Linked DNA regions of Macaca mulatta. The protein of the gene in region 5 interacts with the protein of the main gene of each other region in a pairwise test. Links are inferred from orthologs where the notes say so. Each region holds a gene or a part of one and is shown on either strand. Other genes may lie near its edges.

Region 1 (3,500 bases), on a different chromosome or scaffold from region 5:
TTGAAAATGTTCATTAAAATGATAAAGGCCGGGCATGATGGCTCACGCCTGTAATCCCAGCACTTTGGTAGGCCGAGGCGGGTGGATCACGAGGTCAAGAGATCGAGACCATCCTGACCAACATGGTGAAACCCTGTCTCTACTAAAAATACAAACAACTAGCCAGATGTGGTGGCGGGCGCCTGTAGTCCCAGCTACTTTGGAGGTTGAGGCAGGAGAATCACTTGAACCCAGGAGGCGGAGGTTGCAGTGAGCCAAGATTGCGCCACTGCACTCCAGCCTGGTGACAGAGCAAGACTCCGTCTCCAAAAAATAAATAATACATAAAAATAAAAATAAAATGATCAATGCATACATTCTCAAACCCAGTCACTCTGTTGCAGGAACTTAGCCCACAACCTGTATTTTAAAAAGGGTGAAGTAACATTTTTATTTTATGTTAGTATAAAATAACATTTTATTTTTATAAAGGTACTAGTATATTTGCTGTAGCATTTTTTCTTTTTTTTTTTTGAGATGGAGTCTCGCTCTGTCGCCCAGGCTGGAGTGTAGTGGCCGGATCTCAGCTCACTGCAAGCTCCGCCTCCCAGGTTTATGCCATTCTCTTGCCTCAGCCTCCCGAGTAGCTGGGACTACAGGCGCCCGCCACCTCGCCCGGCTAGTTTTTTGTATTTTTTTAGTAGAGACGGGGTTTCAGTGTGTTAGCCAGGATGGTCTCAATCTCCTGACCTCGTGATCCAGCCATCTCGGCCTACCAAAGTGCTGGGATTACAGGCTTGAGTCACCGCGCCCGGCCTGCTGTAGCATTTTTTTTAAAACAGCAAATGACTGAGGAGAACCAAAATGCCCATTAGTCGGGAGCTGATTAACAAAGAGTACATTTACACAATGGTGTTCTACCGGGCTCCAAGATACATGCTGTCAGAGAAAGGTTTCCAAGATGTGTAAGTGAAAAGATGGTACGAAGGGAGTATGTCGTGTTACTACCATTTGTGGTTAAAAACAGGGGAGGGAGGAGAAACCTTTTGCATTTCATCAATTCTGGGATGCCAACGATGATAAGATGTACCATGATTTTACATGCCAAAAACAAAGCAGAAAATACTGCCAATGGAATTCTGAGATGTCACTGTTTGTAAGATGCATCTGGATTTCAAGATGTTACAGATATGAAAAAATGTACACCTTAGAATCAATGAAATATGGTATTTATTTCTTGAATAAGACTTTGTGGGAGGACACATGAGTCAGTGGTTCCAATGACTACCTCCCATGAGAGGAGGCAGGTGTCTGGATGACAAGGATGGGAGACAGATTTTTAATTATATTCTCTTTTGTACCTTTGGATTCTTGAATCACATGAATATATTACCCATATCAATACATTTTACACTTGAAGGAAAGACTTTAAAACAATGTAAAAAGTCAAATGCTGGAGAGTCCTACCTAATGATGGCCATGCCATTCCGGATCTCAGCCCCCAGGACCGCATCCACCAGCCTGAGGACAGAGCCTGAGGCCAGGCAGGCACAGGAGTATGAGTTCTGGAGAGACAGTGGGGAGCCAGAGAGGGAGTGAGGGAGAGAACAGCCCTATCCACTCAGCTGCTTGCCCCAGGGTGGGGTGGGCATAGGGATAGGGACCCCAAGATTGCCACCATTCCCTGCCCCCACAGTTCTCATCCATACCGGATGCAGATAAACTGAGTCGTAAGTGTCTGCTAGGACGCGGAGTTCTCCCTCATTCATGTACTGAGTTGTTTCCATCAGATCAATATATTCTAGGCTAGACACAGATGGGAGATGAGATTCAGGGCCCTGTCTCTTCCCCACCTGAGCCGTCCACACACCAAACCCCTGGTCAAATTAGGGCTCGGCTCCCCCAACTGTCAACCTGAAGGAATAGCCGGGATTTAAGATACATTCTGTTTCTTCCCTAGCCCGCCTCAGTTCCAGTAATATTCTCTGCTCCCCTGCTCTAGCCATACCAAATCCTACTTTCAGGCCTTTGGCCACTCTTGTCTAGCTGTCTGTTCTTCCCTTCCCTCAGTCACCCTCTTCATCTGACTCACTCTTTTTCTCCTCTTAAAGCTCAGCTCAGATACCCACTCTGCCAAGCTAGCTTTCCTCGAGCCACACAGCACCAGGCCTCTAAATCTGGGTTCCTGCAGCCCCTGGGGAAACTGTCCACACACCCACCATCACTCTGTCCACACATCCACACATCCAACCGATCACTCTGTCCACACATCCACCATCTGTTCAATCAGATCATGATAACAGTAATAGCTCATGATGGACTGATGATACATCAGGCCCTGTTCTAAGCACCTGACACACATCGAACTCTCCTGAGGAACTTAAGTTTACTGGTTCCCTTGTTACAGGCGATGACATAGATTCAGAGAGGCTCAGCGACTTGCCCAAGGCTGGCCACAGAAACCATGACATTCCTTCCCAAAGCGTTTAGCTTGCCCTGGTTTGTCCAGGGCAGGCTCCTCCCCATCCCTACAAGGCTCCCAAGCCTTCACCTGTGAACCAACATCAGCTCTTCCTTTTCAGCAAACCGGGCCTGGGGAGAGATGAGGAATAAAGGCGGGATAAAGGGTTAAGGCATGGGCTGAGCCCAGGTCAGGTCAGCTCCCTGCCCTTTACCCAGAGTGTTGGCTTGGGGGCCTTACCTGAAAGGACACACAGCGATCTAGGAGGCCCTCCTGGATCAGTTGCTCTTTGATGGCATGGAGCCGCTCAGGGCCTTCCGGGAAGCTGGGGAGATGGAGACACAGTCACAGATGCATGGGGACACTGGGGAGCTCCACATCTGCTCTCTCCACATCTCCCCATCCACCCTTCCACAGCTGCTTACCCCAAAACTGTGGTGTGAGGCCGGGCGTGGTGGCTCAAGCCTGTAATCCCAGCACTTTGGGAGGCCGAGACGGGCGGATCACGAGGTCAGGAGATCGAGACCATCCTGGCTAACACAGTGAAACCCCATCTCTACTAAAAAATACAAAAAACTAGCCGGGCGAGGTGGCGGGCGCCTGTAGTCCCAGCTACTCGGGAGGCTGAGGCAGGAGAATGGCGTAAACCCGGGAGGCGGAGCTTGCAGTGAGCTGAGATCCGGCCACTGCACTCCAGCCTGGGAGACAGAGTGAGACTCTGTCTCAAAAAAAAAAAAACAAACAAAACAAAACTGTGGTGTCAGTCCTGCCTTCCATCAGCTCTGGAGTGTGACCCTCTCCTCACCACTGCCACTGCTACTACTATACCCTCCTGCCTGGGCTGTGGTGGCATCTCCTCGGCCTCCCTGCTTCGACCCTCGCCACCTCAACAGTCCTTTCTGTGCATGACAGCCAGACACTGGTTAAAACCCTAATCAGTTCATGTCCCATTTTTTTTTTTTGAGGCTCCCATCCCATTCTGAGTAAAAGCCAAAGTATTTCCCATGCCCAGAAGGCCCAAAACTGTCTGTTCTCCATCACCTCTCTGACCCCATCTCCT
Region 2 (4,289 bases), on a different chromosome or scaffold from region 5:
AGAACACACACACACACGCGCGCGCGCACACACCCAGGCAAGGAGCTCACCACCAGCTCTGCGGCCCAGCTTAGGGCCCTGCACCCTGCGAGGCCAGTCCTCTCTCGCAGACACAGAGATACATGGATGCTTGCTGGAAGCCAGGCACTGACTGAGTCTCAGTGGTTGAGCCCTGCCCTGCTGCCACTTTCTCAGGGCCTGGGCAAGGATCCTTTCCAGCTTTGCTCAGCCCAGCAGCCCCCTCCTGGTGCCCACTCTTCCCACCCCTGCCACCCTCTCCCCCCTCAGAAGCCATACCCAGCTCCACTTCCTCCGAGGCCTCCAGGGACAAGACTGGAGGCCCAGGCACACTCAGCAGGACCCCCAAGAGGGCCGACAGCAGCCGCATCTCCTTCCCGCAGCTCTCAGGGGCCCAGGCTGGACTTCCCACCAACTGCCTTCCTAGAATAGGGGGGGAAAAGAGCTCCTGCTCCACATGCACCTTTGCGGGGGCTTTCCCTTATTTTGCAGATGAGGAAATGGAGACAGGAAGTGGCCAGTAGATGTGTCCAAGTCCCTGGCCAGGCTGTGGCAGTGCAGACTGGAACCAGCTCTGCTGTAGCCAGAGCCTGATGCCTTCCTACAGTAGGTTGTGCAAGGGGTCTGGGCTGGGCTTCCTGCTCTCCTTGAGTCCTGCTGGGACCCTGGCACACGTTCACAGAAAGCAGTTTTGGGATTCTTTTCTTGGAGGGAAGCAGAGAACGGAGACTATCTTCTGCATGCTCTTGGCACACGTAATTTATTTTTTGCTGAATAAATGAATTGATTGCCGAAGAGCCAAAAAACAAAGTGAAAAATGATACAAGGCCAAACTTCAGCATCTGGATGTTATCTGATCCAATCCCCACTCCTTATAGCATTACTGACATTTCCAGAGCTGGGCGCCCACCACTGACAAGGCAGCTCCTTCCGTAGCAAGCAGGACCGCATCCCTGAATACCTCTGCTTGTCATGCACCAACTCCATCCGAGGTACACACGGTTTTGTAAAGAATACAGACCGTAATTATCCATCCACCAGAGCCAAGTTCAAATCCCGACTCTCATCAACTTGTAATTCCTTGTCTCTGTCTCTCTCTGGGTTACTATCCTCATAGGACTGTTTTGAGGATAGAAGAGACAACGTGCATCGGCACTGGGCACACAGAGTGTTGGAATGTTCTTCTCCCTGTGCCCGGCCCTAGAACTGTTCACCTGTTGCCCTGGGTCTGCCCTCAGCCAGTCACCTCTGGTTCGGGTGCTGTTACTGTCAGGCTGTGATGTACACACACCCCAGCTGGCTATCCTCTTCCAAATGCTACCAAGGACACCTCTGTTCCCCAAAACAGAACACTCAGAACCGAGTCTCAGCTGGGACAAAGGAATACTGTGATCACTGCAGTCCTAGGGGCCTATGGGTGGCACTGGTGTCTCTGGATCTACCCTGTGTGGGAAGCCTATCACACCTCCTTACCCTTGCTCACTGCCACTCCACTTCCAGTCCATCTGGCTTCCCCTGCCCTGACTCAGGGCAGGTCATGGCCATCTCTTGCATGGGCCTTTGGAAACATCCTCTCCCTGGGCTCTTCAACCTTCATCTTCCAGCAGAGTTTTAAAAAACTACAAGTCTGCCATGTCATGCCCCCAGCTTGCAAGCCCTTAATGGTTACCTGTGCCCAGCAGGATTCAGCTCAGCATCCTAGGGCTCCCTCTGTTCCGCTGCCTATCTCTTTGGTCACACCGTCTGTCCCTTCAGGAGCGCTGAAGCCATTGGCTCTCAAAACTGGTCACATATGCTCTCTTGCCCATCCCTCTGTGCCCCCCATTCCTCTTCTCTATTTGACTCAGATACTGCTGTCTCTGAGGCCACTTCAACTCTCAAATCCAGTTGGATCCCCCTTGGTAAAACCCCCTACCAAGCTCGGCTTGGCAGGGAGGGCAGCTCTTTGAGTACACAGCTTGGGCTGGGAGTGGCTGGGGAGGCCCGGGGATTTTATTCCTACCCCAGGCTGCCCTGATATCAGAGTCCGTGGAAAAGTCACCCGTGGCTGCTGACCGCTGACCGACCACCCCACACGTGGGAACAGAGGGCCTGCCTTAGGCATCAGACAGCCTCCCGCACTCGCGGTGGAGGCCCCCGGGCGCTAAGTGACTGAAACTTTCGGGGCCTCAGCTCCCTCATCTCTGCCGCCGGCGCGAAGACAGCCGCAGGGACAAGCTTGTCCTCCCCCACCCTTGCCGGGCCAGCCTGGGGGGAGGTGCGAATCAATGGGTCCCGAGGGTAGCTGCACAGGGCCGGCCTGCCCCCGCCTCGGTGGGCAATGAGTAACCAGCTCCGCGGCCAGGGTGCTCTTTGGACGGAGCGGGACAAAAGGCCCTGTGTGCACTGCGGGTTACTGATTTACCGCCCCCTCCACCCCCTGCCGCCCGGCGGACGCCCAGGTCCCCTGCGCCGGGAGGGGCAGTCCCTGCAGCCCCGCCGCCGCTCGCCCCCTGGCGGCTGGGAGCGCAGCCCGGGCCCGCAAGGGTTCCGGCTCACCTCGAGCCTGCGTGACTCCGCGCCCTGCACAGGGTCCTGGTCGCCTGCCTCCTACTCACCTGGCTCCTCTGCCGCCTCACTCCCAGCTCCAGCCGGCCGCGACCCGTGCACCCGGCGGGGTCCGCAGACAGCCCAAGCGCTCCTCAGCCGGGAGCAAGGAATGTACCCGCGACGGCGGCGTGGCCGCGGGCGGCCCACCTCCTGCCCCGCCCCTCGGGCCCGCCCCTCCTGCTCGGGCCCGCCCGCCTCCTGCCACGCCCCCTCGGGCCCACCCCTCCTGGCCCAGCTCGAGCCGGAGAGAGGTGTGGCCGGCGGGGGAGGTGGCCAAGAGCCCCGCCCACCTGGAGACCCGCCGCCGACCCAGTCAGCCCACTCCAGGGACCCCGCCCCAGCCTATACACACACCCCTACACACACCCCCTATACACACCCCATTCAGGCTCCTCCTCTTTCGCCCCACCCAGGCTCCAGGCCAGGCTTCTAAGTTCTAGTCCACTACCCAGCTCTACTGCTTGCTTTTCACCCCTCAGGGAATGCCTGGCTCCCCTGTCTTCTGCGCAGTACCGTGCAGTGGATAGGAGAACCCCTTCCTTCGGCTCCCTCATTTGTTCTCTGCGCAACCTGGGGAGTGATACTTACAACACAAATCTGACTGTGTCAGCCACTCCCTTAAATTTTCCTATAGCTTCCCATAGCTCTTTATACATAGATTATTGCCATGACCCACGCCTCCTGGCTCCCTGCTACTCCTGGGCAGTTTCAGGTACCATTCCCTCTTCCTGGAATGCCCTTTGGTCTGGTTAATTTTATATTATTCTCAGCTCACTTCCTCCAGGAAGCCCTCCGGACTTGCAAGCTCCTCTTAGATGACTTCTCTGTTGTGAGGATGGAGAAAGAAGCAGAGTGAAGTGGTTCAGAGCACAGACTACAGGGCTGGACGTCATAGGCCCAGCTCTCAGCACCATCACACAAGGCCTCGGTCTTCACTGTCTTTTCAGTGAAACAGGCAAATGATAGTCTCACCCTCAAGAGGTTGTTGCAAAAAGTAGACATGTGGCTGGGCGCGGTGGCTCAAGCCTGTAATCCCAGCACTTTGGGAGGCCAAGACGGGCGGATCACGAGGTCAGGAGATCGAGACCATCCTGGCTAACCCGGTGAAACCCCGTCTCTACTAAAAAATACAAAAAACTAGCCGGGCGAGGTGGCGGGCGCCTGTGGTCCCAGCTACTCGGGAGGCTGAGGCAGGAGAATGGCGTGAACCCGGGAGGCGGAGCTTGCAGTGAGCCGAGATCGGCCACTGCACTCCAGCCTGGGCGACAGAGCGAGACTCCATCTCAAAAAAACAAAAAGTAGACATGTTAGCAGTATATGTAAGCCTGGCATGCAGCGCTTGCTTTGTAATACTAGTGAAAGGACACAAAGATAGATGTGTACCCGCCCCCCACCCGCTACACCCTTGTTCTGCTCTCTAATCTTTGCACATACCAGAGATTTCGTAAGTTCTGTGAGTACCTGGTTTTCTGCACGTACCAGAGATTTTGTTTTGCACATACCAGAGGTTTTGTAAGTTCTGAGGCAAGGTCACAAGACGTGTTTAAGTAAGATAAACTCTTGCTGCCATAAACCTGCTCTCCCGCCTCAAAGTTTGAACCAAAATATCAGAAATGGCGGGAACCAATCATAGTTAGCCAAATCGCCTTGTTCAAACACTAGCCAATCATATATCTGATTTG
Region 3 (3,500 bases), on a different chromosome or scaffold from region 5:
AAAATACAGGATCTCCAAAATATCTCAAGCACTGACCTCAGGTTTCACAACAGTGACCCCTAAACCGTGCTTTCTAATCTTGTAGCTAATTTGTTAGTCCCACAAAGGCAGTCTAGTTCCCAGGCAAGAAGAGGGTTTGGCAAAGGGCTATTATTGTCTTTTTTTCAAAGTCAAACTATAAAATAAGTTCCTCTCAAAGTTAGTTTGGCCTATGCCCAGGAAGGAACAAGGACAACTTGATGGAGTTGGTTAGATCATATCTCATTCACTGTCATAATTTCCTCAGTTGCAACTTTTGGAAAGGTGATTTCACTCTGCTGCCTTGCTTGATTTCAGTTTAAGTAACTCTCCAAGCAGACTTCTGTATTGTGGAATGAGACAGGTAAGTAATTAAAACCTGCATTTGGCATTCTTTAACATATATACTGTTAGATCATTCATCCTAACACAGCCTCTACCTATACTTTCATTTGCCTTTGTCTTGCTTTCATTCATTAGGAGTGTGATTTAAAAAAAGAAATACTGCCTTGGACTAAAGCTTCATATTCTTGGTCTTAGCCCAGGATTGAAATATTTGAAATGCTTGTGGTAAGTTGGCTTGCTTATTTTTACATATTTTGCCTTAAAATGTACCTATATTTTTATATTCCATATTCCAAATATATAAAAAGGAGTATCTAATGCATCTTTAAAACGTACTGAATCAAAACACATTTTGTGGTTGTCCTCATTCATTTCTCATCTGCTCATTTTTAGTCACAGAAATTCATCTCATTTTCAATTCGTGTCATTTCTAAAGCAAAGCAATTTTGGTGGGTATCCTTGCCAGCCCTCTTCATATTCTCTTCTCCCTTTGTAAAATTTTCCTTAACTATAATTTGTTATGGAACGAGATTTTAAAAAATCATTGCAGTGATCCAATTAACTCATTGTCAAGACAGAAATGTATTTCTGAAAGCAAATTTCTATTGCCTAGTTCTTACTAAGCACAAGCTCAGGTCTCTATTCTGCCAAGGCCTATAAATTGTAAAGCTGTGTGCAAGGGAAAAGGGAGTCTTGGGATGTCACCCCATGGAACTTACCAAGCACTAGTCCATCTCTTGGAAACTCCCATCTCGAGTCATAAGGCAGCTGCATTGGGTCCACATAAATATATTCATGTCCATCTGGGCTGATTGATTCAATGACCCTCCAGCGAATTTCATACCTCGGTTTCTATAAACGACCAGGACAGGTAACTGGTGAATTACCAAAGTCCCAGTGCACCAGAGCTTCAATGAAGCTGCACAGTGACTGGACACAGTAGAGTCCAACAACGTTCACTCCACATATAATTACTAAGCTCCTTCTCTGTGCCAAGCACTGAGCCAGGTTGCTGTTCTTGTTCTCATTGGCTTCAAAGATCTTTAGTTTTATAAGAAAATATCTACCTGTTTCCAAATGACAACCAGGACAATGAGTGAGATAATCACAATCACCAGCAGCACCAGGACTGCGGCAGCCACCGTGAGTTCAGAACGCAGGGCTACGTGACAAGAGAGAGAGGTACAATGAAAAGTTTCCTGGCAGACATGCATGGGGGCAGCAAGGTAGTGTGGCTGTGTCTGAGCCAGGAATCTCTCACTGCTGGTGGGGAAATGTGAGGGCTGTCTGGTTCATTTTAGGGATAGGAAGTACCATCTCTCAAACTATCTACACCCAGGAAACTACATCAACTCTTTCCTTATACAAGAAGGGGACAAAATTCAATCAGGAGAACTCAGTATTTTCTCCAAAGTTGCTCCAACAGTAACCTTGTGGACAGAATTTGAATAGGAAAAATAAAGATGGATAAATGCAATTGACAGCTACTATATGGACAGACACTTCTACTTCATATGCTTTATTATAAAGCTTATTTTGTAAATTGCATTTTGCTTATATTGCTTTTGGCTTCATCCATCTTTTAAGGAGCAATGAGACAGAAGATCCTTCTTCCCCACACTGCATCCACATACACAGACATTCAAAGTAGAAACTGTAGCTATATTATTAGACAAGCAAAATGTTGAGGAGCCTCTGCAAAATGCTGTTTTGGATCTGAATCTAAAACAAAGTCGTAGGTAGAGGTTGCAGTGAGCCAATATTGTGCCACTGCACTCCAGCCTGGGCAACAGAGCAAGACTCTGTCTCAAAACACAAAACAAAATAAAGCAAAGTCCACATGCCTGCCTTTAAGAGCATTCATAACTGAATTTCTGCCTTGGGACCTTCATTTCTATATGACTCCTATTTGGGATTCAAAGTTCCGCCTGGGGGAAATGGGGCTCAGCTGATGAGTTGTCCTGACTGTTGAGGAACTCACTGGGAGCCACCAGCTTCAGCTCTCGGTTCTCAGCTCCAAGGAGATTCTTAGCCAGGCATCTCACCGCAATGGTCTCTTCCACTTTGGCAAAAGTCACAAGGCCCTCCACGGTACTCCTGTCTCGGGGGTGGATCTCCGTGATGATGTTTGAGACATTGTTGGCCAAAATCGTCCAGGAAGTTTCATTATTACATCTAGAGAGAAAAAGGGCCTAAGTATAGGGCCAATTCCTGAGAGTCATGGCAATGAGTGGAGCCAAGGGAACACTCTAAGATGGCAAGGTGTTGGGATCTTGTCTACATTTTGGGGCACTACACACTGATTTATTTTACATGCAGATGAACATTAAAACTTGTCTGCATGTGCTAAAGAGGGCATAATTCACACATGAACTGAAAGTGTTTACATAGCAGGCAGAGATAAACAAGTTTAATAAAATATGACTACCATTCCCCAATCTTGAACCATGAGCCAAGTGAACAGTTCAATTTCAACCATATTTAATTATCTCAATCTCCCACACCTTCAAAAAGGCCTGGAACCCTTCCTTCTCAACACCCACTCTGGGAAGAGCCCCTAAGGTGTCACTAGGGTTGCGATGATCCTCTGATTGAGTTATAAGAGCTAGATTCCTGCTCCACACTGGAATCTACTAGAAACTCCAGTCAACATCCAAGTCCATCCTTAGCCCTAGGAGAAGTTAAGATGAGGAGTCTCTGTCTAGAGGAAGAAACAACTGAGGCTTCTGAACACAACCAGTTACCAGGGATGAAGTGTAAACACACCGCTCACGTGCCCATTTAAGAAGGCTGAGAACTGGGAGGAAGGAGGAGGCACTGGCGAATTAACCCACCAAACAGCAGGTGGGCAGATAAGGGACTAAGCAGTCACATTTATGTTTACATGCAGTCCGACCACCAAACAAAGTTCACCAAATAAGGTATGTGAGCCAGGGTAGTAAAAATCTTCTTAGGACAGTGGTTCTTAAAATTCACTCTTTTTTTTAGATTGGAGACACTTTGAAGGTCTAATGAAAGCCATGGACCTTCTCCTTACAGCTATTTGTGACAAAAGATACACACCCTGAAGCTATCACACCCACAACCCTATCTTATAGTCAATAAGTAAAATGTATTTGACATCATTTGTGTCAAGG
Region 4 (3,500 bases), on a different chromosome or scaffold from region 5:
CATCTCTTTGGGGATGTCTTTTTTTTTTTTTTTTTTTTTTTTTTGAGACGGAGTCTCACGCTGTTGCCCAGGCTGGAGTGCAGTGGCGCGATCTCGGCTCACTGCAAGCTCCGCCTCCCGGGTTCCCGCCATTCTCCTGCCTCAGCCTCCTGAGTAGCTGGGACTACAGGCGCCCGCCACCGTGCCCGGCTAATTTTTTGTATTTTTAGTAGAGACGGGGTTTCACTGTGGTCTCGATCTCCTGACCTTGTGATCCGCCCGCCTCGGCCTCCCAAAGTGCTGGGATTACAGGCTTGAGCCACCGCGCCCGGCCGGGGATGTCTACTTCAGTAATACAACTGGTATCGGCAGAGGATCGTGAGACTCCCAGAAGCTTCCAGTAGGACATGGCAGCTGAGCCAAACCTCTCCCCCAACCCACCCACCTGCAGAAGGGCCCACTGCCCAGGCAGTGGGCAACAGGTGCCGTGGCCGTGCGGCTTCCCCCATGCAGACTCACCCTGTGCTGCCACTCTTCAACCTCATCCTCCTTGCGCCTCCGCGCCTCTTCCAGGAGGGCAATCTTGGCAGTGTATTCTGCAAGCTCCGCAGCCTGGGAAGGGAATGCCAAGCTAAAGTGACTTCTGATATCCTTTCAAGAGTCCAGTTGTGAATGAGTGTTAATGTGTGTTGGTGAGCAGCCTCCACTGTGACATCTGAGTCCCCGTCACCCCCACTTCATGGCTAGCAGGGTTCATCGTGCACCCTCCCTACCATCACTTCCTGGATGCCCACACCCACCTTCAACGGGTGACCCTGGCAACAGCCCGGCCCCTTCCCCGCCAGCTGCTTCATTCCCCAGCAGATCAGCTTACAGCTTCCAGTCATGACAATTATTACAAGGCAGGTGTCACATTTTCCATCCTCAGAAGCAGCCTCTCTATAATTCAGCATCTTGAAACTCAGGCCATTCCTACCAGCTGCTCCTGGCTCTTTATCTGATCCACCGCCTGTCTCTCCAGCTCCTCCTTAGCCCGCAGCGCGGCCATGCGGTCAGCCTCTAGGCGCTCAGCCTCCTCCTGCGCCCGCTTCCTCTCCTCCTCCAGCTGCAGGGCCCTCTGAATCTGCTCCGAGAGCTCTGAGAAGACACAAAGCCAGAGCCGTTCAAGCCCTTGGCCCAGGAACCTAGGCGCCTTCGCCTTCGCCTTCCATTTGCACCCCCAAAGCCACAGAGCCCTAGACCAAGTCACAGGTCAAGGGGGGATGTCTTCCAGTGACCCTGGAGGAAAGCACTTCACAGCTCATTGCTGTTGTTTGCATGACAACTTCCTCAAGATGGCTAGAAACCCATCCAACGTGGTGGGCCAGGCACCTTCTGGCATGCCTGACTCAACCCTCTTGGCGTTAACTCTCCCCAGGTCAGCCGCCCGCTGTGCTGGTGGCCCACACTCCACTCAGAACACAAACACCCTTCCCATCTGTGCTAAGGGCTGCCAGTGAACACAGCATCTGTGGCACCTTATGTAATCAGCCCAGCTGCTGGGGTTGTCGACTGGAGCTGTGCTGGGGAGTCTGGTTCTGAAGAAGCCTTTGGGTTTTAGTCTAGAGGTCAATGACAGTGCAACATGGCCCTGTCACTCATGGGCTGTGGGACTGTGGGAAGATCACTGTACCGCACCAAACCTTACTGTACTCATCAGGGAAACTGGGTGATGGAGCACTTACTGCAAAGGACTAGGGAAATTTTAAAATACAATGTCTTAGAACAATGAGCACCAAAGTTAATGAACTACAGAATTGTTTTCCAAACCAAATAACTATTTTATCATTTCGGTTGTGAGTCTGCAGTGTGGGACATGTTCTTGGTTTCCTTTCCAGTGGTTGGGTGGGTGTGGCCCCCGCCCCTGTGGAAATGCATGACCCAGTGTAGAGAGCCAGCCCCAGGGCGCCTGACCTCTCTCTGCCTTCTTGGTCTTCTCCTCATAGTCCTGCAGCCGCAGCATCAGCTCCTCCTTCTCACGCATCATCTGCTCTTTCTCTCTCTCCACAGTTTCTCTCCTTTTCTTCTCTGTTTCTAGCTGTTGCCTGGTGCAGGGAAAAAGAGGCACAGGGAGATTTAGACTGGCAGGAAAGTGAGGGGTCAACACACTTCACGGGTATGTGCAGCTCCAGGATGGACTTGGCATCCTGAGGGCCACCCTGGCCTGCCACCAGCCTGAGCTGCCTGAAGGAGCAGCCACTCCAGGGCTGACACCAGACTCAGCACCACAGCAACCTCCCAGAGACAAAGGCCTCGAAGATCCCAGTGTGGCGACTGAGTTCCATTCCACCAGGCTCTCCCCATCAGCTGCGCGGTCACCTGACAGGCACTGGCTGCCTCAGCAGGCAGGGCTGGCGGTAGCTGAGCTGGGAAAACACAGGCCCCTGCTCTGGCCTCCCACGCTCACCGCTCCAGCTGCTTCTGATGCTTCTCCTCCCGGGCCTGGGCCTTCATCTGCTGCACCTCGATGGTGTCGGGCTTCCTGCGGCGCATGTACAGCTCGTGGTTGCCCATGCAGAGCTGCAGGATCCGCTTGTTAATTCTCAGGCGGGGGGCATAAAACACAAAGTCCTACAAAACAGAACAGGGCCACCTGGACTTAAGCTCCTTTGTTTGGTTTTCTTCTCCCAAACCATACTTCACAAAGGTCCGGAACTTTTCTAAAAGAACAAATGTAGCAGAACAGGGATGGCAGCGTCTCAGCACTGGAAATGTGCATTCTCCAGGACGGGTGGAGGAAGGGCATGTGCTGCGTGTGTGTGCAGTTACATGTGGGTATGTACATGCTGCATGCACACTGAAATCCCGCTGCACGTAAACTGCAAAGCTTTTCCAAGGTGAGAACTCTCAGCCTTGGGAAACCCTTCAAGTCTCAGAGCTGCCTGCTCTTCCAGGTAGCCACCTTTCATGATGTCCTCTCCAGCCTCACTGCTCCGTCCCCAATGCTTGCCTGGATTGCCTCTGCTTCTATTTGAGCTTCCTCTGGCACAGCCTCCCCTCCCACACTGTTATTGCTATGCTGACCACCCTGACCTTCAATGCCAGCCTAGGAGCTCCAGGATGAGCTCCAGGGCCTGGGCCCAACACACATGGAGACCTTTTGACTCTGGGCCCAGCCTCCCATGTGCTCTCGGTTCTCTCTCAATGCTGTCCAGCCCTGCTCCTGCACCTGCCACACCTGCTACAGGTGCTCGCCACAGTGGCACTGTTGCTTCACTCCAGTGACTCCTTTCAGCATCTCACTCCTATGAGGCCATCAGCTCCTGAGAGCAGGGGCCACATTCACTCATCTCTATCTTCCCAAGGTCAATATTTGAGGTGCTCAGTACCTGCCAGACATCACCAGCTCGTGCGGCACAAATAGCCATGTGCAAGCTCCATAGCCTTGAGCACATCCCTTCATCAGGCTCAGGGCCTTCAACCATAAGGCGGGGATGCCAGTGTATCAAGGGACTTCAGATATGGGACTCAATCCTCCCAGC
Region 5 (3,500 bases):
TGATACGACTTCTCCAGAGAACGGTTTGGCAACACCTACGAAATATTATCTATGATGCAGCAAATTCTCCTCTGAATACAGACCGTACATATTGCTTGCAAATGCTTTTGTCACTTAACAGAATCTTGCAGTGTTTTTCCATGTTCTAATACCGTGATCTGGATCTAGGATCCATATGGATCTGGACCCATATTCTCTTTTTTTTTTCTTTTCTTTTTTTTCTCGAGATGGAGTTTCGCTCTGTTGCCCAGGTTGGAGTGCACTGGTGCAATCTCGGCTCACCGCAACCTCCGCCGCCCAGGTTCAAGCAATTCTCCTGTCTCAGCTTCTCAAATAGCTGGGATTACAGGTGCCCACCACCACGCCCGGCTAATTTTTGTATTTTTAGTAGAGACGGGGTTTTGCCATGTTGGCCAGGCTGGTCTTGAACTCCTGACCTCTGGTGATCTGCCTGCCTCGGCCTCCCAAAGTGCTGGGATTACAGGCGTGAGCCACTGCACCCAGCCCGGACCCATATTCTTTTAATTTTTCTCATTTAGTTGTCTTTAAATTGAAACGCATGAATACATCCTTGTGATAAACATTGCCAGCACTATATACCCTAAAAATGCCAATGTGTGGACACTAGGGGGCATACAGAAGAATGCTCACTTGTGTATGGAGCTCAATTGCAATAAACTGCGAAAACAGGGAAACAAGCTCAATATCCCTCAAAAACAAAGTGAAATTACATCCATGTTATAGGTTGAATAATTAAAAAAGAATAAAGATGGTAGATCTGTCTGTACTCACAAGAAAGGATACCTCAAGTCGGAGGGAAAGTAAACTGCAGAATAGTATGAAGAGAATGATCCCATTTACATTACAAAATGTACACGCACACAAATCTGATGACAAGTGGAACTATATGAAATTGCTGTTTCTTGACCTTTTTTTTTTTTTTTTTTGAGACAAGAGTCTTGTTCTGTCATCCAGGCTGGAGTGCAGTGGCACAATCTAGGCTCATTGAAACCTCCGCCTCACGGGTTTTCTCCTACCTCAGCCTCCCGAGTAGCTGGGATTTCAGGTGTGCATCACCATACCCGGCTAATTTTTGTATTTTTAGTAGAGACAGGGTGTCGCTACGTTGGCCAGATTGATCTCGAACTCCTGATCTCAAGTGATCCGCCTGCCTCAGACTCCCAAAGTGCTGGAATTACAGGTGTGAGTCACCGCGTGCCCATTTTTGGTTTACACAAACAGCAATCTTATTTGACTCAACCTAATATAAATGTAGTGTGTCTATATAAGTGTGCAGAAAAGAGCCCAGAAGGATGAACACACAAGTCAATGCGGTGGTTCTCCCAGCCCACAGGAGAGGCTGGGTGGACAGGGAGTTGAGTGGTTTTGTAACATTTATACTTTTATGTTACTGAAAATGTTTATCACAAGGATGTATTCATGTGTTTCATGTGTAAAGACAACTAAATAAGAAAAATTAAAAGAATAAGGTAGATCACCATGTTAGAACATGGAAAAACATTTCAAGGTCCTGGAAAGTGAGAAAAAGCAATTTGCAAAAACAATATGAACTATGATTCTATTTGGTAAAAAGAAATATATGACTGGGCATGGTGGCTCACCCCTGTAATCCCAACACTTTGGGAGGCCGAGGCTGGCAGATCACCTGAGGTCAGCGGTTCAAGACCAGCCTGGCCAACATGGTGAAACCCCATCTACTGAAAATACAAAAATTAACTAGGCAAGGTAGCATGTTCCTGTAATCCCAGCTACTCAGGAGGCCAAGGCAGGAGAATTGCTTGAACCCAGGAGGTAGAGGCTGCAGTGAGCCAAGATTGCACCACTGCACTCCAGCCTGGGTGACAGAGTGAGACTCCATCTAAATATATATATATATATGTGTGTGTGTGTGTGTGTGTGTGTTAGAACGTGCACAGATAAAAATAACTGGAGAATAATATTAATGTATGTTAACTTATATATACATATTAGAATGTGCACAGACAAAAATAACTAGAGGAAAAATATTTCAAATTATTAACAGTGGGGATAGAACTGCTAGGGCATTAATTTATATTTCATGTTTTAATTTTACCATTTTAACAATGTGTTATTTTTATTTTTATTTTTTTTGAGATGGAGTCTCGTTCTGTTGCCTAGGCTGGAGTGCAGTGGCGCAGTCTCAGCTCCCTACAAGCTCCGCTTCCTGAGTTCATGCCATTCTCCTGCCTCAGCCTGCCGAGTAGCTGGGATTACAGGCGCCCACCACCACACCCGGCTAATTTTTTATATTATTTAGTAGAGACGGGGTTTCACCGTGTTAGCCAGGCTGGTCTCAAACTCCTGACCTCAGGTCATCTGTCCGCCTCGGCCTCCCACAGTGCTGGGATTATGGGCGTGAGCCACCGTGCCCGGCCCCAACGATGTGTTATTTTTGCCATCAGAAATAAGATATGATAAAGGGAGAGTTGGTCCCCTTTTATAGTAAGAGCCCCAGAGAGACCCCTGAAAGGAAAGTCCTCCTTTCTGCAGAAAAGACCCTCAGACTCACGAGTGGGTGCAGTTGATGGGGCAAGGCTGGCACGTGCCCTCCTCATCTGGAAACTTCCAGATGGGCATGTAGGAGAGGTCAGGTTTCACACCGCTGGGGCAGCGGGCCACGCAGAAGGGAGGGTCCTTATAGTGGGCACAGGCCACACACTGGTCAGCCTCCTGGGAGGGGCAGAAAAGGTTTGTAGGGGGCTAGCACTGACACCCCCAGGGCAGTAGGATCAGGCCCTTAGTTGGGTCCCCTTTGTGCTTCCCAAGGCCACCCAGCAGCAATTTTCACCATGCTCCTGGGACAAACACCTCTGCTCTTCACCCAGTCTCTGTGGACCCTCCCTCGGGGCCCTCCTCCAAGCTTGATCCTGGGCGGGGACTTGAGCCAGAGAATGGGAGGCACCCAGAGAAGAAAACGCATTACCTAAGGTGTAACAGCGAGTAACAACAGTCACTGCTGCATAGAAAGCCTTTCCCGGGCTTCACTGTGCCAAGCCCTGTTTAATTTCATTCTCACCACACCCCAGCAAGGTAGGTACTATTACAATACCCATTTTAGGAATAAAACACCAAGGTTGGAAGCAGGACCTGGGTCTGAATCCAGGTAGTCTGACGCCTGAGCCCGCAGGGCTAACCACCCTAGCACAGCCACAGCCACAGCCGCAAACGCAGACCTCCTTAGAACCTTTTCATAGTCTGAAGGGCCCCAGGGTCCCCCGGGCCCCCTTTCCTGCCACTCTGCTGCTGTTCGGGTCTGAGTGCTGAGCCCTCTCCAGGGATATTTTACCAGACGGCACACCCTGCCGTGTCTCGCCATCCTGCCAAGTCCCTGGCAATCCCCCTCGCTGCACCCCTCCACCCAGCTCTGAGCCCGCCAGCAGCTCACCGGTCCAAAACATGTCACTGAGCCATTCTGGGGCTGACACTCAGGGTGGCACGGCAAACAGTGTCTGGCATTC
Region 6 (4,006 bases), on a different chromosome or scaffold from region 5:
GGGGAGCGTGTCCACAGGGTGCCAGGCTGGCCGCTTCTCCACTGGCCCTGCCTTCCTCACCTGACGATCTTGAGGCTGTTGTCATACTTCTCATGGTTCACACCCATGACGAACATGGGGGCGTCAGCAGAGGGGGCAGAGATGATGACCCTTTTGGCTCCCCCCTGCAAATGAGCCTACAGCAGAGAAGTAGACAGTTATAAACCCGGGTTCTGCCTCTGCAGGGCTGAGCCAGCTTCCCCTACCGCGGGCCCTCCTGCACTCACCCCAGCCTTCTCCGTGGTGGTGAAGACGCCAGTGGACTCCACGACGTACTCAGCGCCAGCATCGCCCCACTTGATTTTGGAGGGATCTCGCCTATGGGGTGGGGGAGACAGGGATAGGACATATTGAGGGACACGAGGTTACCATGTACCCAAGGGAGCCGCACCACCCTAGCTGCCCCCCACAGCACATTTCTCCCACTGCCTTCCACTCACTCCTGGAAGATGGTGATGGGGCTTCCATTGATGACGAGCTTCCCGTTCTCAGCCTTCACGGTGCCATGGAACTTGCCATGGGTGGAATCATACTGGAACATGTAAACCTGGGGGAATACGCAAGGGTGTGAAGGGGCTGCCTGGCAGCCAGGTGGCTCCTCCCACATCAGCTTTGGGGCAGCACTCACCATGTAGTTGAGGTCAATGAAGGGGTCATTGATGGCAACAATATCCACTTTACCAGAGTTAAAAGCAGCCCTGGTGACCAGGCGCCCAATACGACCAAATCTAAGAGACAAGAGGCAAGAAGGCATGAGGAGGGGAGGCTTCTCCACAGTATGTGAGCTGCCCTAGGACACCTCTCCATTAAGAGGGCGAATGCAGCATCTCCTTACCCCCAACATCTCCTTACCTCCATTAAGAGGTGAATTGTATCTCCCTTGAGCTCCCCTGCCAGGCTGGCCTGGCTTTACGGCATGGCTGCAACTGAAGGCTCCACTGCTGCCTAACACCCCCCGTCATAGGAAGCCCTTCCAGGAGAAGCGGCCATGTGGGGCACTGCCACCCACAGTCTGGGCACAAGCTTTGCACGTGGCATTCAGCACCTCACTATGCCACCCCAGGAATGCTTGCTGCTGCCTAGCTCAGCCTCAAACTGCACCGTTTAAGGAGAAAAGATTTGTACACTCAGCATCACCAAACTCAAAGGGCAGGAATAAAGGTCAGAAATTAATTGGACAGGGCAAGCCCACCCCTTCTCTAAGACCCGCCTACAAAAGGGACAGAGATTGGGCCGGGGGAAGAGGGGAAGTTGTTTTTTAACCCCCTAGTCCCAGGGCTTTAATTTGCAAGCTTCTAGTCCTTTCCTAGCTCTTTTCCAGAATTCAGGAGTGGGAGCACAGGTGTGTGCATGTGTGTGGGAGAAGGGATGGGAGACGGCCCAAGCCCAGGCCCCCAGTTACAGAAAGGTCAGCAGCTATATTTATCCTCAGACCAGGGTGCGGTGGGAGATCTGGTTTCTGGAAGACGGAATGGGGAGAAGGGCAGGTTTCCCGAGGCTCCCAGACACCCAATCCTCCGGGTGACATTTACAGCCTGGCCTTTGGGGTGGGGTCAACGCTAGGCTGGCAGGGGAAGAGGGGGGCCATAAGGTGAGCCGCCGCTGCAGAAAGGGGCCACCGCCAGAGGGGCCATTTTGCGGTGGAAATGTCCTTTTCCAACTACCGATGACTCAGCTCCCCCCGGCTTGGCACCAAGCCACAGCCACCACACCTCTGGAGGGAGGGGACACAGGAGGACCTCCATAAACCCACTTCTTTGATTTACCAGAGAATTATCTAGAAAAAGCATCACCCGGAGGGGAAATAGGGCTTGCAGCTCAGGGGCCGACTTGAGAGCAGGGGCCGGGAAGCCTCGCTCCACCTGACTTCCCCGCCACACGCGACTCCACCCACCGAGGCAGGAGCGCAGGGTTAGTCACCGGCAGGGTTTCCTAACGGCGGCCCATTCATTTCCTTCCCGGTTGCAACATGGCGGCCGCTCTACCGCAGGCGCAGCCTCCGGACTGGGATGCACCCGCTGCGCACTAGCATCCCGGGGCCTGCGGTGCCGGAGGCCATGGGGGAGGGGCTCCTCTGCGACACGTGACCTCGCAGAGCGCGAAAGGAAAGAAAGCGTCCCCAGCTAGGGGTCCGGGTCGGATGGAATCTCGGGCGGGAGTAGGGACCTCCTGTTCCTGGGGACTAGGGAAGGCAGGCCCCGGGCAGATGGCGCCGCAAGGGCGGAGCTGCACAGGGCGCCACAGCCTGGGTGCGGGGCTCCGCCAGGTCCGAGCGCTGACCTTGAGCTCTCCTTGCCGGACGCAGCTACCCTACCCCATACGACAGCAAAGACCCGGAGCCCGCAAGGCTCGTAGACGCAGTTTGCGGGCGGCCCAGGGCCCCCCAGCCACCCACGAACTCACCCGTTGACTCCGACCTTCACCTTCCCCATGGTGTCTCAGGGATGCGCTGCGCGGAGAGAGAGAACAGTGAGCGCCTAGTGGTCCCGGTCGACACCCACGCCTCCCCTCCCCTCCCCTCCCCCCACCAGCCTCCATGCCCAGCCCGCGCCGCATCACGTCCTCCGCCCGCCCCTGCAATGCGGAGGCAGCCCGGGCCCGGACCCGGACCCTGGCCCGCGCCCACCCCGCAGCGGCGCGAACACGTCCGGCCCACGCCCGCTCCTGCCGCCTTCAGGCCCGTCCCTAGCCTCCGGGCTCCTCTCCGCCCGTCTTCACCTGGCGATGCAAGAGAAAATGCGGCTGACTCTCGAACAGGAGGAGCAGAGAGCGCAGGGGGAGGCTGCGGGCTCAATTTATAGAAACCCGGGGGCGCGGCGGCAGGCGGTGACTCTGACCCCGCCTCCCGCCGGGCTCAGCCAGTCCCAGTCCAAGGACTTGAGGCCTGAGCTACGTGCGCCCGTAAAACCGCGAGTAGCGGGGCCCTGCTTTCTCCCTGCTCTTTTTTTTTTTCCGCAGCCGCCTAGTTCAACTGGGCACGCATCAAGCGTGTGGGCCCCGACGGAGGGGGGAAGGGACTGAGACTGGCCCGATGGGAGGTGATCGGTGCTGCTTCCCAGGACTGGAGTGTGGGCAGCAGGAGACTAGGGAGTCAAGGACGGGGGCCCTTACACGCACGGATGAAACAGGACTTTGGGAGCGACTGAGATGGGGAATTGGAGCCCGAGCCCTGCACGGCTCGCGGCTGCACGCGGCCTGCCCCCTCCCCTTTCTTTCAAAGGCTGAGAGGCGGGAAAGTTGGGGAACTTCTCCTCGAGGCTCTGCGGTAGTGACACCGGAATAGCTGAAGCAAAGGGCTAGGAGGGGCCCGTGGGCCCTTCCCAGCCCCCACTTCCCCCTCCCCATCTCCTGGCTCCTGGCCTCTCTGGGACCGAGGCCTGGCCTGGGCACTGGGCAGTGGGGGCCTGGAGAGGAAGGAGGCTCGGGAGGCGGCTTGAGGGGGAGGTTTCTACACGGAAGGTCACGATGTCCTGCAGCCCTGTAGCTTGGACCTGATGATTAGGGCAGACAATCCAGGCCCTGTGTGCACCAGCGGCTCTCCCCGGGCTGGGGCCCCAGGCGGAGGACAGGATGGCTGGTGGGGGCCCAGAGGCCTCCCACAAAGTCACTCCTGGAGCCCCGTGGGCTGTGCTGCCTAGGGTGAGAGACAGTGTGCTTTTCACTCCATCCAGCCCGGGGCGAAGAGCGGGACGTGAGGGCGGAAGTGCCTCCCCGCCCTGGGACGTGCAGGCGAGCCAGGAGCCAGGGACTCCCCTTCACTGGCTTCGCTGGGGGATATTGAGGGCAGGGTGAGTCAAGAAGAGGGAAAAAGTGGGAAAAGAGGTCTTGGGCACATGGTGGGAACAGGCCCCCTGCCCCTTCCCACAGGGTATCCATTTCTCTGGTAGGAGGGCAGAGGGCCAGGTTTGTGAGTGTGGGATGGGAGCGTGCTGAACACTTGTAAGGAAGGGGGTGGGGTGGGGTGGCC

What was found.
Region 1: the proteins of ERBB2 (region 5) and HDAC6 interact in a protein complementation assay, tested with the Homo sapiens proteins (2 studies listed by BioGRID and IntAct, with this or other methods). The link is inferred for Macaca mulatta from reciprocal best matches to the Homo sapiens genes ERBB2 and HDAC6.
Region 2: the proteins of ERBB2 (region 5) and FGFR4 interact in a protein complementation assay, tested with the Homo sapiens proteins (2 studies listed by BioGRID, with this or other methods). The link is inferred for Macaca mulatta from reciprocal best matches to the Homo sapiens genes ERBB2 and FGFR4.
Region 3: the proteins of ERBB2 (region 5) and PDGFRA interact in a protein complementation assay, tested with the Homo sapiens proteins (2 studies listed by BioGRID, with this or other methods). The link is inferred for Macaca mulatta from reciprocal best matches to the Homo sapiens genes ERBB2 and PDGFRA.
Region 4: the proteins of ERBB2 (region 5) and EZR interact in a protein complementation assay, tested with the Homo sapiens proteins (2 studies listed by BioGRID and IntAct, with this or other methods). The link is inferred for Macaca mulatta from reciprocal best matches to the Homo sapiens genes ERBB2 and EZR.
Region 6: the proteins of ERBB2 (region 5) and GAPDH interact in a protein complementation assay, tested with the Homo sapiens proteins (2 studies listed by BioGRID and IntAct, with this or other methods). The link is inferred for Macaca mulatta from reciprocal best matches to the Homo sapiens genes ERBB2 and GAPDH.

What each region holds. Positions count from the first base shown.
Region 1 is NC_133426.1:48,883,169-48,886,668, reverse strand, and holds part of HDAC6 (protein deacetylase HDAC6), read right to left. Parts: intron 2,766-3,500; coding exon 2,681-2,765; intron 2,572-2,680; coding exon 2,531-2,571; intron 1,786-2,530; coding exon 1,689-1,785; intron 1,545-1,688; coding exon 1,447-1,544; exon of another isoform or gene 1,392-1,446; intron 1-1,391.
Region 2 is NC_133411.1:186,050,394-186,054,682, reverse strand, and holds the start of FGFR4 (fibroblast growth factor receptor 4), read right to left. Parts: upstream 2,801-4,289; 5' UTR 2,616-2,800; intron 2,274-2,615; exon of another isoform or gene 1,688-2,273; intron 442-1,687; 5' UTR 389-441; coding exon 298-388; intron 1-297. UniProt on the Homo sapiens protein: Tyrosine-protein kinase that acts as a cell-surface receptor for fibroblast growth factors and plays a role in the regulation of cell proliferation, differentiation and migration, and in regulation of lipid metabolism, bile acid biosynthesis, glucose uptake, vitamin D metabolism and phosphate homeostasis.
Region 3 is NC_133410.1:79,224,984-79,228,483, forward strand, and holds part of PDGFRA (platelet-derived growth factor receptor alpha), read right to left. Parts: intron 2,539-3,500; coding exon 2,345-2,538; intron 1,526-2,344; coding exon 1,431-1,525; intron 1,216-1,430; coding exon 1,083-1,215; intron 1-1,082. UniProt on the Homo sapiens protein: Tyrosine-protein kinase that acts as a cell-surface receptor for PDGFA, PDGFB and PDGFC and plays an essential role in the regulation of embryonic development, cell proliferation, survival and chemotaxis.
Region 4 is NC_133409.1:77,632,686-77,636,185, forward strand, and holds part of EZR (ezrin), read right to left. Parts: intron 2,590-3,500; coding exon 2,426-2,589; intron 2,064-2,425; coding exon 1,933-2,063; intron 1,117-1,932; coding exon 956-1,116; intron 592-955; coding exon 499-591; intron 1-498. UniProt on the Homo sapiens protein: Probably involved in connections of major cytoskeletal structures to the plasma membrane. In epithelial cells, required for the formation of microvilli and membrane ruffles on the apical pole. Along with PLEKHG6, required for normal macropinocytosis.
Region 5 is NC_133421.1:64,070,491-64,073,990, reverse strand, and holds part of ERBB2 (receptor tyrosine-protein kinase erbB-2), read right to left. Parts: coding exon 3,428-3,500; intron 2,966-3,427; coding exon of another isoform or gene 2,864-2,965; intron 2,713-2,863; coding exon 2,552-2,712; intron 1-2,551. UniProt on the Homo sapiens protein: Protein tyrosine kinase that is part of several cell surface receptor complexes, but that apparently needs a coreceptor for ligand binding. Essential component of a neuregulin-receptor complex, although neuregulins do not interact with it alone.
Region 6 is NC_133416.1:7,484,595-7,488,600, reverse strand, and holds the start of GAPDH (glyceraldehyde-3-phosphate dehydrogenase), read right to left. Parts: upstream 2,801-4,006; 5' UTR 2,758-2,800; exon of another isoform or gene 2,666-2,757; intron 2,489-2,665; 5' UTR 2,472-2,488; coding exon 2,443-2,471; intron 768-2,442; coding exon 668-767; exon of another isoform or gene 645-667; intron 587-644; coding exon 480-586; intron 358-479; coding exon 267-357; intron 177-266; coding exon 61-176; intron 1-60. UniProt on the Homo sapiens protein: Has both glyceraldehyde-3-phosphate dehydrogenase and nitrosylase activities, thereby playing a role in glycolysis and nuclear functions, respectively.